Struthio camelus: one gene and its partner. Each later gene encodes a partner of the first gene's protein in a complex. Links are inferred from orthologs where the notes say so. Each region holds a gene or a part of one and is shown in the gene's direction. Other genes may lie near its edges.

Evidence for each region. The genes of interacting proteins can lie anywhere in the genome.
Region 2: INTS6 (region 1) and INTS9 share a complex: the UniProt entries of both Homo sapiens proteins name them as parts of the integrator complex. The link is inferred for Struthio camelus from reciprocal best matches to the Homo sapiens genes INTS6 and INTS9.

Annotation. Positions count from the first base shown.
Region 1 is NC_090942.1:193,678,972-193,686,737, reverse strand, and holds the start of INTS6 (integrator complex subunit 6), read left to right. Parts: upstream 1-4,406; 5' UTR 4,407-4,477; exon of another isoform or gene 4,478-4,829; 5' UTR 4,830-4,879; coding exon 4,880-4,990; intron 4,991-5,256; coding exon 5,257-5,334; intron 5,335-6,091; coding exon 6,092-6,241; intron 6,242-7,766. UniProt on the Homo sapiens protein: Component of the integrator complex, a multiprotein complex that terminates RNA polymerase II (Pol II) transcription in the promoter-proximal region of genes.
Region 2 is NC_090944.1:9,670,247-9,677,577, reverse strand, and holds the start of INTS9 (integrator complex subunit 9), read left to right. Parts: upstream 1-4,098; 5' UTR 4,099-4,176; coding exon 4,177-4,185; intron 4,186-7,331. UniProt on the Homo sapiens protein: Component of the integrator complex, a multiprotein complex that terminates RNA polymerase II (Pol II) transcription in the promoter-proximal region of genes.

The DNA of each region.
Region 1 (7,766 bases):
TTAAGATCTTTATATGGGGAAAAAAAGTCTGAGTAGTGACAATCTACTAGGCTATGAAAGGGCCTTCTAAAGGAAGCTATGAAAAACTTACTCTGCGCCATTAAACTTGGGCTGACAAAGATCTTGAAATAATCTTCACGAAACAGTTCTGTATTGAGGAAGAGAAAGGCCAGCCAAAAAAAGAAAAAACAAAGTTATATTGCCAATTCTAGTTCCAAGATCCACTTGAAGGTTTTTAACATAACATCTTCCATTCAAGCCTGTTATTTAGGACAAAATAACGCTAACAATAAATGATGATATAGAAAAAGATGATTGCACGAGTATCAATTGGGAAACAAAAAAGTTTAAGGAAAAACTCAGTAATAGTAAATGATATCAAAATATTTTTCAAATGATTTTTTCAATATACATTTTCAAATTCATTGGAAGTTAAAGCCAAATTTGCATTTTTAATAGTTATTGTCTAACAGACAGTGGCCTCTCTGAAGGTGAGAAAATGAGTATTCTTAGACATGCACGTGTTTTCATAATCCCTCACGGATGTATGAAAAATAATAGAAACAAAATCTGTGTATGAAACAAGCTGGAAAATGAATAATTTCTACACCTTAAGTCTAAACTGATAATCTTATGCATTATCACTACAGCAAAAGTATTCCTTCAGACAGAGCTAGCTGAGACCATTCATCCAGATTTAAGAGAAAACATAGAACTGTCTCATTTACACTATACATGGGGTATAAATTTACCTACCATGTAAAAAAGCTGAAACCACAGAAAGATACATCTGTTTTCACAGGGATAGTCGCAAGCTCTCTCCCTGCTCACCTGTGTCAGCTCTACCAGTAATGAGCATAAGCACTAATATCACTAGGTTTTGTTCCTTCATAGCAAATCCCTTGTACAGATTTATAAATGTGACTCTGATGGCAGTACTACCCATTAAGACTCTCACATCAAGAGGCCGACAGGCACTTTAAGACTTGGGTTGATTATCTTTTCTTAAAAAGAATCTTTCTCAACATTAATCAAATTGGCCAGCTCCCAGTAGGAAAGTACTAATGCCTACCACAGGCAACACAAAACTAACCTTCATTCTGCCCTATAGGGGATCTAATATGGGTCTCATATGACATGCACAGGAGCAGGAAGGACCAAATGTTCCAAATTACTTCAAAGATAATGGCAAAAAAGTACATATAGAATTCACAAAGTGTTTTTGCTGGTAGAGGTCCCATTGGAACTGCATACAAGTTTCGTGCACGAGATTCTTTTATCAGTGGTAATCATTGGGTCCAAGGGAACTAGGGATAGAGTAGGTCCAGCTGCTTCAGTCCCACCTTCCTCTCGTGTTGGTAAGAGAAAATTACAGTGTGCCTACAGCTTGCAATTGTCATGCTGATTCAGAATTCACGGTAGGTTATGACTGATTCTACCACTAAGAGTTAATGTCTTTTCCCCTCTCTCTCTTCACTTACTGGTAATAAAAAGAAAAATCAGAAATTCCAAACGACCTTCCAGGATTTATGCAAAGTCTCCATGTCTCAGGCTGCCTTTCACAATGACATTTTCCTGGTGTGGCAGTGCTATAAAATGCCTTTACTTTTTTTTCCCCTCCCCCTACCTCTGGAGAAGGGTGCGTTCCAGAAGTTTCCCATTTTTACAACGCTCCTCGAGAAAATGCATAAGGCTTGGCACTTAAGAGTGACATTATTTTTATTTATTATTTTTATTTGGGTGGTCAATGAAACATCAGTGAAATAAAAATAGAAGAAAAGATGGCATGTCTGAAGAATGTGCCTATCTCAGAGATTTAAAGGGAAGCCAATTAGAGGCTGACAACACACACTTACCCAACATTACTCCCAAATGAAGCTACTAATCCCAAGGCACGATTTGTTAAAGCAGCATTATAGCCTTCACTTAACAACCTGAATCCCACCACTTTTGGGAGATGATTACTGGTCCTGCAGCAGCCAGCCTTGTTGACCTTAGGAGTGGCATACCTGAGAGCCAGAAGATACATGCCACTTTCCGTGGAGGGCCGAGGGGAAGCAAGGTGCTCCAATACAGATTGGCAGACAGAAGATAACTGTGAACCACGTTTCTCCAACAGTCCGAACGTTTTACTGCACAATGGGGCTAGGCATGCAGCTAGACTCCAGGGCAACCCAGCAATCCAGCCTCAGCAGCACCCGCTGGTTCACTTCCTCTGACAGCAGGGATTCAGATTAACCGGTAGAACCTGGACCAGAACAGCCTTGCTGCTGGTCACAAGACACACCACCACTGTTGGAGCTCTAAAATTGAACTGCTGGAAAGATGCAAGCTGCTCAAGAGCCAGCGAGTACACACAAGCTTGGCCACTCTCTCACTGCCAGCAAGATCCACACTGAGAAATACTCATAGCAAGAGATGTTACTTATTTGCCAACCCAGTTACCATATTTTGTCTGCACAGACTCCAAAGATCAAGACTCTTTCCTTGCTCCTGTGGAGCCCTTCACACTGGAGACTCCTTAGTGGCCTTAAATGGATAACTGAACTGAAAGGAAGCATCCCTCACTTCACCCCAATGCCTCAGGTCACAGATACAGCGCCGACAAGAAAGCCAAAATAATCTGCTCCCTGGCATAAGAATGCATACAAAGCTATAATGGAAGTATGATTCCTATCCCTCTCCAGCCTTCCTAGAAACTGAATGTTAATCTTTCATTAATCTTAAAAAAACAAAACAAAACAAAACGCCAAAAACAGCTCTTGTCGAACAAGACAGAAATCTTGCCTGGAAAAGCAGGATGAATCAAACCAGAACACTGCTGATATTTTCGTATTTTAAAGAGAAGGAAGGAGCACAGTGGCTTTAAACCTGCTAGAGCAGTGACTGGGAGAACACATCAGCTCGAGCTGGGGAAAAATATCAAGTCAGATAGGAAGCAGAGGCATCTCCTGAAGTGATTATGCTAAGAAACGACTTCAGAGTTAGCGCTCCAAGGTAGGAGAGCATAAACAGAGACACAATTGCTGGGGAAAGAAAAACCCCAAAACAACAACCAAGAGCAGAGATCTTCATCGTTGGAAACACTCCCCGATTATGTGATTGATCGGGAGTGAATGTGGAGCGCCCTGCCACAGATCAAAGAAACATTAGCGTTAATCTCCGTCTGTATGTAGGGGAAAGGGCCACTGCTAGGGCTAGCCAACGTTTATTTATTTATTTTTCCCTCCTCCTGACATCGAGTGAAAAGCCAGTGCAGGTCCCTGAGAAGGTACCATTTAAACGGTCACCTGCACCCTACAGCCACGGCATGTCGTGGACTGGGCAGGCACTGCGTGCCGGGCCCCCAAGCGCCAGCTCCCCCCGAGGAAGGGCCCCCCCCCGCCGCCCACCCCGGCCCCCAAGGCGGGGGCATTTCGGACCTCGGCTTTTCCGGCCTTCCCCCCTCACGGAAGGGGCAGTTTTGGCATCGGCACAGTTTAGAGGACCCCCACCCCACTAACCTTGGAAGGAACAATCCTTCACCACGCCTGAAGCGGGTGACGGGGGAAGTAAAGAAACGCCCCAAGGCAGGGCCGAGGGCAGCCGGCCGGGGCGGGGGGCGACTACCCCCGCCCCCGACGGGGGAGTCCCCCTCCCTCCTCTTCCTCCTTCCGGAGGAAGGCCGGGGGGGGGGGGGCTCCCCACGCCGCCAGGCCCCCCGCAAGACCTTCCTGCAGCCTCAAGGAGAAGCCGCGGCGGGCGCCGGGCGGGGGGCGGCGGCACCGCCCCCTCCCCCGTGACTCACCCGCCCGCTCCCGGCCGAGTCGAGCCGCCGGCGGCCCGCGCTCTCCCCGGGGCCTCCCCCGCCCTCTTCATCCCCGCCCCGGCCCAGCCTGGCGGCCGGCCCCAGTCAAGGGGCGGGTTCGGGTCCGTTACTACCGCGGGCAACCGCCGCCGCGCCCCGAGCCAGGCGGCTCAGCCGGGGCGCGTCGCCTCCGAGCCCGCCGGGCGAGGCGGTCTTCCCCCGTCCATGTGCCGCCACCCTTCTCCTTTTCCTTCCCACCGCCCCGGGTTTCATTTCAGTCGTTTCTCCCCCCTTCCCGCCCCGACCGTTTTCCGAGGAGCTGCGCCCCTCCCTGCACAGGGCTGTGTCACCCCTTCCGCCCCCCCCACCTCACCCCACCCCGCTCGCCGGGCACGGCAGCGCGCGTGCGCGGCGGCAGCGCCGAGGCGCGCGCGCGCCCCCGCCGCCTTCTCCCTCCGCGGCTCCGGCCGCCCCTCCTCCCGCTGATTTGAATATGCTAATGAGGGAGCTGCCCGGTGCCCTATGGCGGGGCCGGGAGGCGGTCACGTGGCGTGGGGACGTGTCTTTCGGGGGCGGGCCCCGACCTGCCCAGGCTGCCTTAAAAGCGGGCGGCGAGCGAGGAAGCGCCTCAGTCAGAGAGAGAAAGTGCCGGGGTGGTGGGGCTGCGGCTGCTCCGCCTGAAACTTCTGAGTAACATCAACAGGGGGAGGGGAGGGCGGGCGGCGGTGGAGGAAGGTGGAAGGCGGGGGGGGGGGGGGGAAGGTTAGCAGCAGCGCAGCCCTATCCGCCTCTCCCTCATAAACCAGCCTGTGTTGGGCTGAGCAGGCCCCTCACACAAAGGAGGGCAGGGCAGGCAGGGCTGCCCCCCTTCCCCCCCTCCTTGGGCGAGGGGCAGCGGGGAGGCGCCCTTCCCCGTGCAGAGCACTCACAGCCACTTACTCCTCTCCTGTCCCCCCCAACCCCGTCTTCTTCTTCTTCTCCTCCTCCTCCTCCTCCTCTTCTTCCCCTTTTCCTCCCACCCCGCCCCGTGGTCCCCCCTCAGCCCCCCGCCCTCTGTCCATGTAGCCGCCCGGCCGCCGGCCCCTCCGCACTATGCCCATCTTACTCTTCCTGATAGACACGTCCGCCTCCATGAACCAGCGCACCCATCTGGGCACCACCTATCTGGACATAGCCAAAGGCGCTGTAGAGACTTTCATGAAGGTACCGGCTCTGCCTTGCGAGAGGAGGCGAGAGAGAGCGAGAGTGACTGCGCGGGGAAGGGGAGGGGGAGGCAGGGCGCGGGGGGCCGCCGGGGCCGGGGGCGCGGGGCGAGGGCGGCCGGCCGGCCGGGCGGCAGTGCGTGTGTGTGCGGGCAGGGAGGGCCGGGCCGCACCGCTCCGGGCCGGGCCGGGGGGCTCCAAGGCGGGGGCCGCCCCGGCGCCGCTACCTCCGCGTTCACCCTCTCGCTTTGTCCGCCACCCCCGCAGCTCCGTGCCCGCGACCCGGCCAGCAGGGGCGACAGGTACATGCTGGTCACTTTCGAGGAGCCTCCTTACGCTATCAAGGTAACCCCCGTTAACCCTCCCCCCCACCTCCCCACACACATACCGCCCCCCCCACCCCGTTCCCCCGCCCCGTGCGGCCCCCGCGGCCGGCGCCGCCCGCCGCGCCTGGGCGCACACGCACGCTCGGGCTCCGGCGGCGGCGGCAGCGCTGACATCAACATGGCCGACATCCCCCCCCCCCCCCCCCGTGCGGTGCGCGAGCAGCAATGAACTGTGGGGGATATTTATTCGAGTTGGGAGAAGTGACAGCAACTCCGCCGAGAGTTGGGCCCGGGGTGGGGGGGGTCGGGAAGGGGAAGGGGAGGGGAAGGGAGGCCGCCCGCCTGCCCGTCGCGGCCCGTGCCCGGCGGGGGGCCGGGCGGCGGGGCGAGCACGGCCGCCGGAGAGCGCCGCGCAGCCGGCGAAGAGCCGAGCTGCCGTAGTTTGAAGAGCTGCAAGAAAGAGTTGGGCATGGATGACCTCACCGAGATTTCGTCCTGCGGAGAGAATCCAAAATACGGCTGGCAGGGGTGGGCTGCTACGATTTTTTTGTGTGTTTTTTTTTGGTTTTTTTTTTTCCTTTTCTCCTCCACGACGACGCGCTCGCCAGCCTGAGGGAGCAACCGCTAAAATATTGCTCGCTCGCCAGGCGTTTGGGTAGCCCTTGTCATTTGCTGTGTGCGGAGGGGAAAGCGCTGCTCTGTAGCCCCAGAGGAAAGCGTTATCCTGTGCACAGCTCCTGTCTGAAGGATACGTCTTCTCACGTTTCTCTTTTCAGGCTGGATGGAAAGAAAACCATGCAACGTTTATGAATGAACTCAAAAACCTTCAAGCTGAAGGACTTACGACTCTTGGCCAGTCCCTAAGGACAGCTTTTGATTTATTAAATTTAAATAGATTAGTAACTGGCATAGACAACTATGGGCAGGTAGGTTGACTATTAATAGGGGGAAAAATCATAAAAGACAAACTTTCCAGGGACAGCAGTTAACTAGTTGTCCAAAATGGCATCTTCATGAAATACTGAATGTGGGGCTTCTTCAAAAGAAAAACAGAGCTCAGGTAGCTTGAGGAAATGTGGTAGTTCACTGTTTTTTGTTTTTTTTTAATCCGACTTTCCTTTCTTATTTCAGTTATTCTTCAATTCTTAAACGCCAGCTTAGCCTTCAAGTTGACCTTTCAGTTAAACTTTGTCTTTTTTTTCATAACAAATTTTATGCTTCAGAACCTTAGCTGATAAGCCTGATGGGATTTGAAAACTTTTCCTTGCATATACAGTGCTGCATAATCAATTACAAGTAATTATAAAGTACACTCTGAGAAATGAGCTACTTTTTGAAAGGCACAGCATGTTTCAGAAATACTGAGTAGAGCATGTCTTTTTCAAAGTCATTTCTTTCTAGTGAGTTACTACTTTCTCTGAACACCTGTATTTTATAAAACTCCCTGCTGTATCAGAGCCTTGGAGCTGTGCTTTTCTAATGCCTGTGATGTGCTTTTCTAATGCCTGTCACTTTAAAGCAGGACATCTTTTGGGGTATTCCAACATTCTTTTGGTCAGTAGTGTGAGTTGCCATAAGCCAGTAACTTTACATTGAACATATGCTTTAGGAAGCATTCACAGTTGTATCTGGCACTGGATCAAACCTGGATTTGTTTTGCATCATAATGGACATGATTAGTATCAGGCAAGTATATTGTGCGTTTTTCACAGAAAACATACTAACTTGAATCTCCCCATTTCATTTGTTGCTCTCATGCAAAATGTTGCTCTCCTGTCTGTGGATTAGTTACTCCACTTGATAGTTAACATGGGTATGTGATTGTGAAAATAAGTCCCCTCCCTCCAAGTCTGAGCACAGTCTCTGTGATAACATGCCATATTTGTTTGGGAAGGAAATTCATCTCTCTCATGTTGCATTGTATGACTTTGCCACTAGGTGATCAAGTGAGCCTAAACATTTTTAAAATGCCAGTTTAGTGATGAAACTTTAAAAAAAAAAAAAAGTGCTACTTCTACACGTTGCTTTTTTTTCCTCTCTGTTCCCATTGCTCTCCTCTTATACGTCTGTGTGCTAATATCTTCTGCTTTCCATCTTTTTTGGTTCAGTTACATGAACTATACAAAGCTGTAACTTTACATAAAAATCAAGGCACACGCGTTAAATACTTTCCCTTTACCACTGGTATGGATGATGTTAAAATTCTAATCAAGTGAGCCAGTTGTGCTCAGCTCAGTTCACGTCATGACTGTTTTGACTGGTTAGTGTTCATTACTGCAAATAGCCGCTCTTGTCTGTATAGCAGTGGCTTTTTCTTTGTCTGGTTTGTTTTGTTTACCAGGCTCTCTCAGGGCTTGAACCCACCCTGGCTTATGTGTTTTAGTTGCTCTGTTCCACATGTGGAACAGACCGTTGAAGAGGTGTTCAAATGTGCAGTCAGGTGACTATATG
Region 2 (7,331 bases), on another chromosome or scaffold:
CTCGCAAGTCTGCTTATTTCTCATTTTTCAGTTTCATTAATTCTTCCAGTTCCCCTCCCTACCATCATCATACCCTGAAGACTCAAATACCATCACTGTCCCACTGACATACAAGAAAAAAAGAGCAGTCTTAAAAGTTAATGATAGAACTCTTGACATTATTTTATTAAAAACAAAATAAAAATAATTCAGAAAGAGAGAGTTACAAACCTCCTACTTCCTCAGCTCCTGCTATGAAGGAAAAAGCCGTATCAAATAGTTCCATGAACTTATGGATTATCACTATTAATTAAGCACTTCATAACAATTTAATTTTCAAAACACTGGACAGCCATGAACTCTCAATATCCCTTTGAAAGATACCAGTAAGATCCACGCTATAAATACGGAAAGAGCCTTAGAAGCGAGCTTTCTGAAGCAGACACTGGTTCCTAATTCCATGTGGAATTATCAGAATCACAATACTAGAGGGATGCATATTTTCTAGAAAGGTCAACAAACAGAAAGGAGTTGCTCAAGACTGCTTAATAAGTAGTTGTGGAGATAAGCAGGCCTCATCCACACAGGATTTTCTTGAAGATTTCCTTACCACTCTTTGTAAACCCTGCAGTTTCACCTACGGTAGCATTCCTATAAAACAGCTGGCAGACTGCATACCACAATGTCGTCTAGACCTGCTCTGAACAGAGTTGGATGACACAGTCGTAAAAATGCTGATGCCTGTTCTGGTGCTCGCACCGATGCTAAAGGAACGATAGGAGGAAGGACAGACACAGCTAGGTAAAACACAAGTTTCTTGTTCCTAGGCTCATCAGACGATTCTGTTAGCCACACAAAAAAGTTGTGGCTGTCACGGGGTTAAACAAGAATTTTCATATAAGAGAAAAGACACAGCATTCCCAAATCCCAGGATCACGGTTTACACACGCAATATCAAACCCCACTCTTCAGAGAGCCCAGTGCTCCTAGAACATGCAGATAACAAATGCATCCCAGCCTTATATTCTTCTATCCATCTCCCATTTCTCCCCTACTTCCCTCCCCAACCTGTATCTCAGAAATGTTTTCTTCACAATTTGGAAGAGAAATGGCAAAAAGAGAGATGCAAAATGTAGACTTAAATTAAGTTTGCTCTCTGCTGTTGAAGGATTTGGCCCAGGCGTGACAGGAGGAAAAAAAACGTTAAGAGTGATAAATCCATATATACCTACTCCAAACTACACCCGACATCCCAAGAGACATGGTATAATGGTAAATAAATATAGATGCAGTTCCTACTAATGAGGCAGGGTACAGCAAGGCCAAAGAAAATGCAATCATCTCAGGAAAAAAAACTGCACAGGACTCCTCCTCTCCCATCCATGGAGGAAATCAAATGCCAGCTGCACCATCCCAGGAAGGAAGCAGAGTCCGTACCTGATGAGCCCTGCAGAAATGAGCTAGTCACATATCATGGGACGCAGGCGGGCACTTCAGGGTTTTGCAAAGCCCACAAATTATCTGCCTAGCACAGGCCATTTCTCCAGTATGGTATATTTTACATGCTCTCATTCATGCAAATTGTAGTTTTTCCACCAGTTTCCTTCTCCTCCATCCCCATTAGTTTGAAGCAGGGGCACGTAGCCAGCGTCTATCAGAGCTGCTCGGACCGTGTTCTCAACCGCGTGCCCTGGCCATCAGCTTAACGCTTTCTTCCCTGCCAAGTTTAAATCTTCCTAGCTTTAGTTCATACACGTTTTGTACTTAAAGCCACTTATCCGTACCTCTAACGTTACTTAAGCTTGAGAACAAATTAAGATATACCTGACTCTACGAAGAGCAAACAGGCTTGCAATCTTCATTTCCTCTTCCTCTTTCCCTCCCCCCTAAAAAAGCATTTTTTTCTTCCCTATATATGAGGGGGCAAGGAAAAACAGTACACATGATCAAGGGTTTTTTTTTTTTTCAGAGAACAAAAAAGCCAAAAAGAAAAAAAAAAAGGTTTCCAAAAAAGTGCTCTGCAAACATACCAAGAGATACTCTTTAAAACAACTAAAAAAAACCCATCAGACGAAACTGAGCCTGGAGAACTCAGCGCAGTCCGCCTCGCGTAGGTTTCGCCCGTAAAAACACTCGTGGCTCGTGTCACTTTACCCCCCCGAAGCAGCACGAAACAGTTCAGCAGCGTTCCCCACCGCTTCTTCCAAACCGTCTGGGGGTCAAACCCACTCTTCTCCCGAAGAAGATCGCAGACAGCAAGAACGTTTACGCCTCCCCCGCCCCAAAATCTCCAGAAGTACAAAACCACCACGCGTACGACACCCCACCCAAGCTCTCCAAGCACATTTGGGGAACGACTTCCCTCCGGGTCCTCCTCCTCCCCCACCCACGTTAAAACTCTCCAGCAACAAGACACCCTCCGGGTTCACGCCTTGTCCCCCCCCCCCCAACCCCGGCAAAGCGCCGGGAGCAGCAACAGATCTGCCCGTCGCCGGCGGGGGCCCCCTCTCCCCTTCTCACCCCCAGGGCTTAACCGCCCCCCCCCCCAAAATAACCCCTCCGCTGGGGGGGGGGGGCGATCCGCCTCGCACACCTTCCCCCTCCGGCCTCCCCCCTCAACCCCGAGGTAACTGCTCGGCCAAAGTGCTGCCGAGCCGGGCCAGCACCCCCCCCTACACCCCGCCCGGAGGAGGGGGGGGGGAGGAGGAGGAGGGTTGGGGGGGGCCCTCGCCGCCCCCTCTCACAGGCGACGAGGCGGCAGCAGCCCAACCCCGGGCTCCAACTCCGGCAGCAAACAAACAAAACAAAACACACACTCACATTCCCCCCCCCCCCCAAAAAAAAAATAAAACCCCACAAAAATAAACACACCCACCCAGCCCGAGGGGACTCTGCCACCGCGAGTTCTTCCCTTCCCACCCAAGGAGGGTGGTGGTGTGTGTGTGTGTGGGGGGGGGGGTAAATAAATAAATAAATAAATGGAATGAAATAAAAATCCCAGGGAGGAAAATGGAAGGGCTCCTCTCCCGTTTTAAAAAACCTTCCGAGGAGAAGCGAGAGGCTGCCCTGCCCTCCCTCAGCAGCCCCCCCACCCCAGGCTCCAAGGGGCACCTTCCTCCGCCGCTCCGCGGCTTCAAGGAGACGAGGAGCCACCCAGCTCCGCGGCACAAAACTCTGCCGGCGACAAGCGGCGCGGGCTGAGGGGCCTGGCCCGGCCTGGCCTGCCTTGGCCCGGCCTGCCCCACCCGGCCCCCCCCGGGCTGCCCCCTCGTCCACGCACCTCCTGCGCTGCCAGGGAAGCCGCTCGCCCGCACGGCGCGACTGCCCCACAGGCAGCCTCGGCGCTGGCTGAGGCGGGGGTGGGGGGGACCCTGCGCCCTCCCTCCCCTCCCCTCCCTCCTTCCAGCCCACCCACCCACCCGCCCCCTCCCCTCGCCGCCCCTACTCTCTCCCTCCCTCTTCTTCTCCCCGGCCCCACACTTTCCTCCTCCCCACAAGTAACACTCACCTCTGGATCCGGGCTCCTGCGCCACCTCACCATTGAACAGCGGGAGAGGGGGGGGGGGTCCCCTCCCTGCCTGCCTCCCCCGCCCCGGCCTGAGGGGGAGCTTCGCGGGGGTGCACAGGGACGAGAACAATGCGGGGGGGGAAAATCCCTCGGCTGCCAGATCCCCCCCCCTCCCCAACCCCCCCCCCGAGGGAAAGAGCACCCCTCACCCCGTCTCTCTCTCTCTCTCCTTCTATCTTTCCCTCTCGCTTGCTCTCTCTCTCTCTTTTTTTTTTTTTTTTTGGCTCAATCACACCAGACTGACTGTCTTTGTCTGTCTGACAAGCGCCATGTTGATATCAACATCCAAGCTCCCACCTGCTGCCGCTGTGAGACCCTGGGACTTGTAGTCCCCCCCTCCCCAGGGTGACGGGGAGAGCCGCGGTCCCAGGACTACGACTCCCAGCGTGCCTCGGGGGCACGGCGCGCCGGCGGAGCGCGGGGCGAAGCGCGGAGCGGACTACCACTCCCGGCATGCCTCGGGAGAGGAGGGCAAGGTGGAAGAGGGGGGCCATGACTTCATCCTGGGCGGGCGGCCGGACTTCAAGTCCCATGATGCTCTGGGGCGGGGTGGGGTGGAGGGGGGGCTAGGCAGGAAGCGGGGTGGGGGGGGGGGCAGGATTGTCCCAGTAAATAGAACCGGGTAAAGCATGAAGCTGGTGAGTCCGTGTAGTTAGGGGGTCTGCGGGGGGGGCCTGCTTGGGGGACGTAGGTAAGGGTGGGAGGGGGGGGCCGCCATGCGGGAGATCGTGGCGTTGTGGGGGGAGGGCGGCCTCAGCCCCCCGCTCCGCGATCCGGCCGGTGCCGGCCCGGCAGTGACCGTTAAACGGTCGTCGGGGAGCCGCCGGGGAGGCACCTGCGCGTGCTAAGGGGCCTAGGCCTGAGCAACCGGCTCTCCCTCTCCTTCCTCCGCCACCCCCGGCCGCTCACCCCGCCGGTGGTTTTAGGGGCTCTCTGCGTTTTGGGTTTTAGATCAGGTTAAGCGGTAGCGGGATTTGGAGGGAAGAGCTGTTTCTTCATATCCTCCTTGAACGTGAACCTCGGCTTGGAGCAAGACAGGAGCTAGCCCGTTGCACGTGTGGCTTCCGCTAAATTACTCTAGAAATATTAATAAATCTCCATGGTTCATAGCAGAGGTCATATCCATGTTTTATAGTTATTATGATAGTCACGCAAATAAGTACTCAGAAGAAAATCATCCTGGAATAGCTTTGTCAAGGGCGCGCTATGATTATGACAGATATTTTGCTTTCAATAGTATAATGTTTTAAAGGGAAGGTTATTAGAAAAGGCATCACTCCGTGTTATTGATACCCACTGTATAAATCTCCTTTTTCAACTATTTAAGTTTTCCAAGGTATTTGGATTCAGCCACTGATTTATTGTCCGCTCAATATGCTGCAGTTCTTTGGAAATGAAAAATGAAACAGCTTTCAAAATTTCTGAGCATTACATTTGATTTCTTTAACTTAAAGTTACACTACTATTAAACCTGTTTTAAGGAGAGACCGATTGTCTCTCCGTTTTGAAACTCTGCAGTTTGTCTTGAGAAAGCTTCATAGAAGTGGACCTGGATTCTGGGCTTCTTTTGTGACTTCTGGTAGATCACTGGCTGTGGCTAACTGTGTAAAATTAGTTCAGTAGACAGGTGGCTGAAGAGCTTGATCCTGCATAATCTTACGTATGTGATTAAGTCTCTGTGTGTGCATGAGTACGACCAGTGGGACAAACTGTGCAAAGCTAAGCAGTTCTCTACATGACTGTAAAGATCGATATAAGGCACAACAAAAAGCAAGCTGAGAAATCTCCAAATGAAAACCATAGTGGAAATGCAGAATTCTTTGTTCTATCCAGCCACTGAGAAGCAAAACCCATCCTATTCTTGTACGAGGGCAGAGAGAGGGAAGAAGTGGGAAAAATGCAAGCTATCTGAAATCTATATTGTAACAGTTTTAGACCTGCTTACAAACTTGGAGGTCAGGAGCATAAGACCAGGTTCTTCATCTTGTGTTTGTCTGGAGTTGTGCCTGAAACTTGGGGTTGTGGAGGTAGGAGTTGGGATGGTATTTCATCCTCTTTTGTCATATATTTAGTCTGAATTTGGAAGAACAGGATAGAGGAAACAAGTCTCTGGACCTGATTCGGAATCCAGTGCAAATGAGAGACTCCCACAAATTCTAACGTGCTTTGATTCGGACAAATCCAGTTGCAAAATTCCCCCTAGACTTTAGGCTAGCGTGTGATAACATTGGAAAAGCATTGCAGTCTATGTTGGCTTCAGTTGTAATTCAAAGCACTGGCTTTAACCTGCGAAATCTTCAGTATTTTGGAGTGGCTAGTTTGAGACATCATGTCTTTTCTCTGTCACATTGCCATATATGAGATCACCAGAGACACTCAGAGCTGGCAAGTGCTCAGCTTGAACCAGCTGTCTGCTGAGAACCTTTCTCTATGAGGGTTTTAGTATTTGGAATTAACCCCTCGTCTTGGTCTCTTTGCGCCCCACTCAAGATTTTCATCAGATTTTCATCAGATTTTCATCCAATTTACAAAGCCTGCTGAGAAAGTTGTGAGCGGAGATGGGCGTATTTATAGTATTTTGTACATATTTTGTGAGCTTTTTCCACTGCTATTTTTTAATTACGAGTATAAGTACCTGTTGTGTTAGCTGCGCTAACCTTCAGTCATAATGGAAGAAAGATAGAAGAAAGCAAATATTAGTGCAAAAAGGACTTGTCTTTTAGTCAGATCAGGAATATTAGATCTCTGGATCTATTTTAAGCGGTAACAGCTATAATCTGTGTGGGAAATAGTCCGTCACATTTATAGTACATATAGAGATATGTATAATGCAGGCATTAGAATTCCTGAATTCTTAAACAAAAATTCTAATTGTACAGGCCCCGAAATACCACATGTGCAAATAGCTGTATAGCATATATGAATTACTTTATGGTTTTTTGGTCGCTTTACATGAATTGAAAGAAAGAATCCACTGACTCTCAGGAATCCACTTACCACAGCTTGACAGCAAATATAGATTATTGTAGATGCTGTTAAGGAAGAAAAGAGGAAGATTTTCCAGTTAGCTCGCAAATGTCAGGGTCATGATCCTATTCATGATTTAAAAAAGAGCAAGAGAGTGCTTTGCTGATAAAAGTGGTGATATTTTATTGCTTTTTTAATTAGCGATAGTTTAAAAGCTATAAAAATAGTTAAGATCCCCCCCCCATTTCTTTCTATTTACTTCAGTTGTACCTTCAGCTGTCAAAGTTCTGGTGTGGTGAAAACATAATTTCGCATGTGTATCTTGCATTCACAAAAGAAGCAGCTGAATTCCTTACATATATATAAGGAATACATATATGCATATGCATATATGTATACCATATGGTATACATTCATATGGTATACATATTCCATACCTATATCCCTTACTCACCAGCTTGGTTTCTTAAGGTTTTCTTAAATTATGCTAACAGCAGGCAAACATAATGTTGCTTGTTAATAATTAAGGCTTTATGAATTTTAAAACAAAAGTCTTTGTGATTATTTTGAATGTACTATTTGGGGTTTAATAGCTTTTTAGCATTTAAATATAACTTAAAACTGCTTTTTGAGGAATGTAAGTAAACAGTCTCCTTGGGAGTTGTTAATCCAAACAGTTGCAATTCTTTGTTAATGTGTGATGAGCAGAGGTAGGGAATAAAATGATTAATCTACCTCCTTTCCACTTAGCAGAGTGGAGCGTAGGAAGTAAGCATAAGGTATAAATGACTTAGAAAAATGACGAAAACTGTTTTTA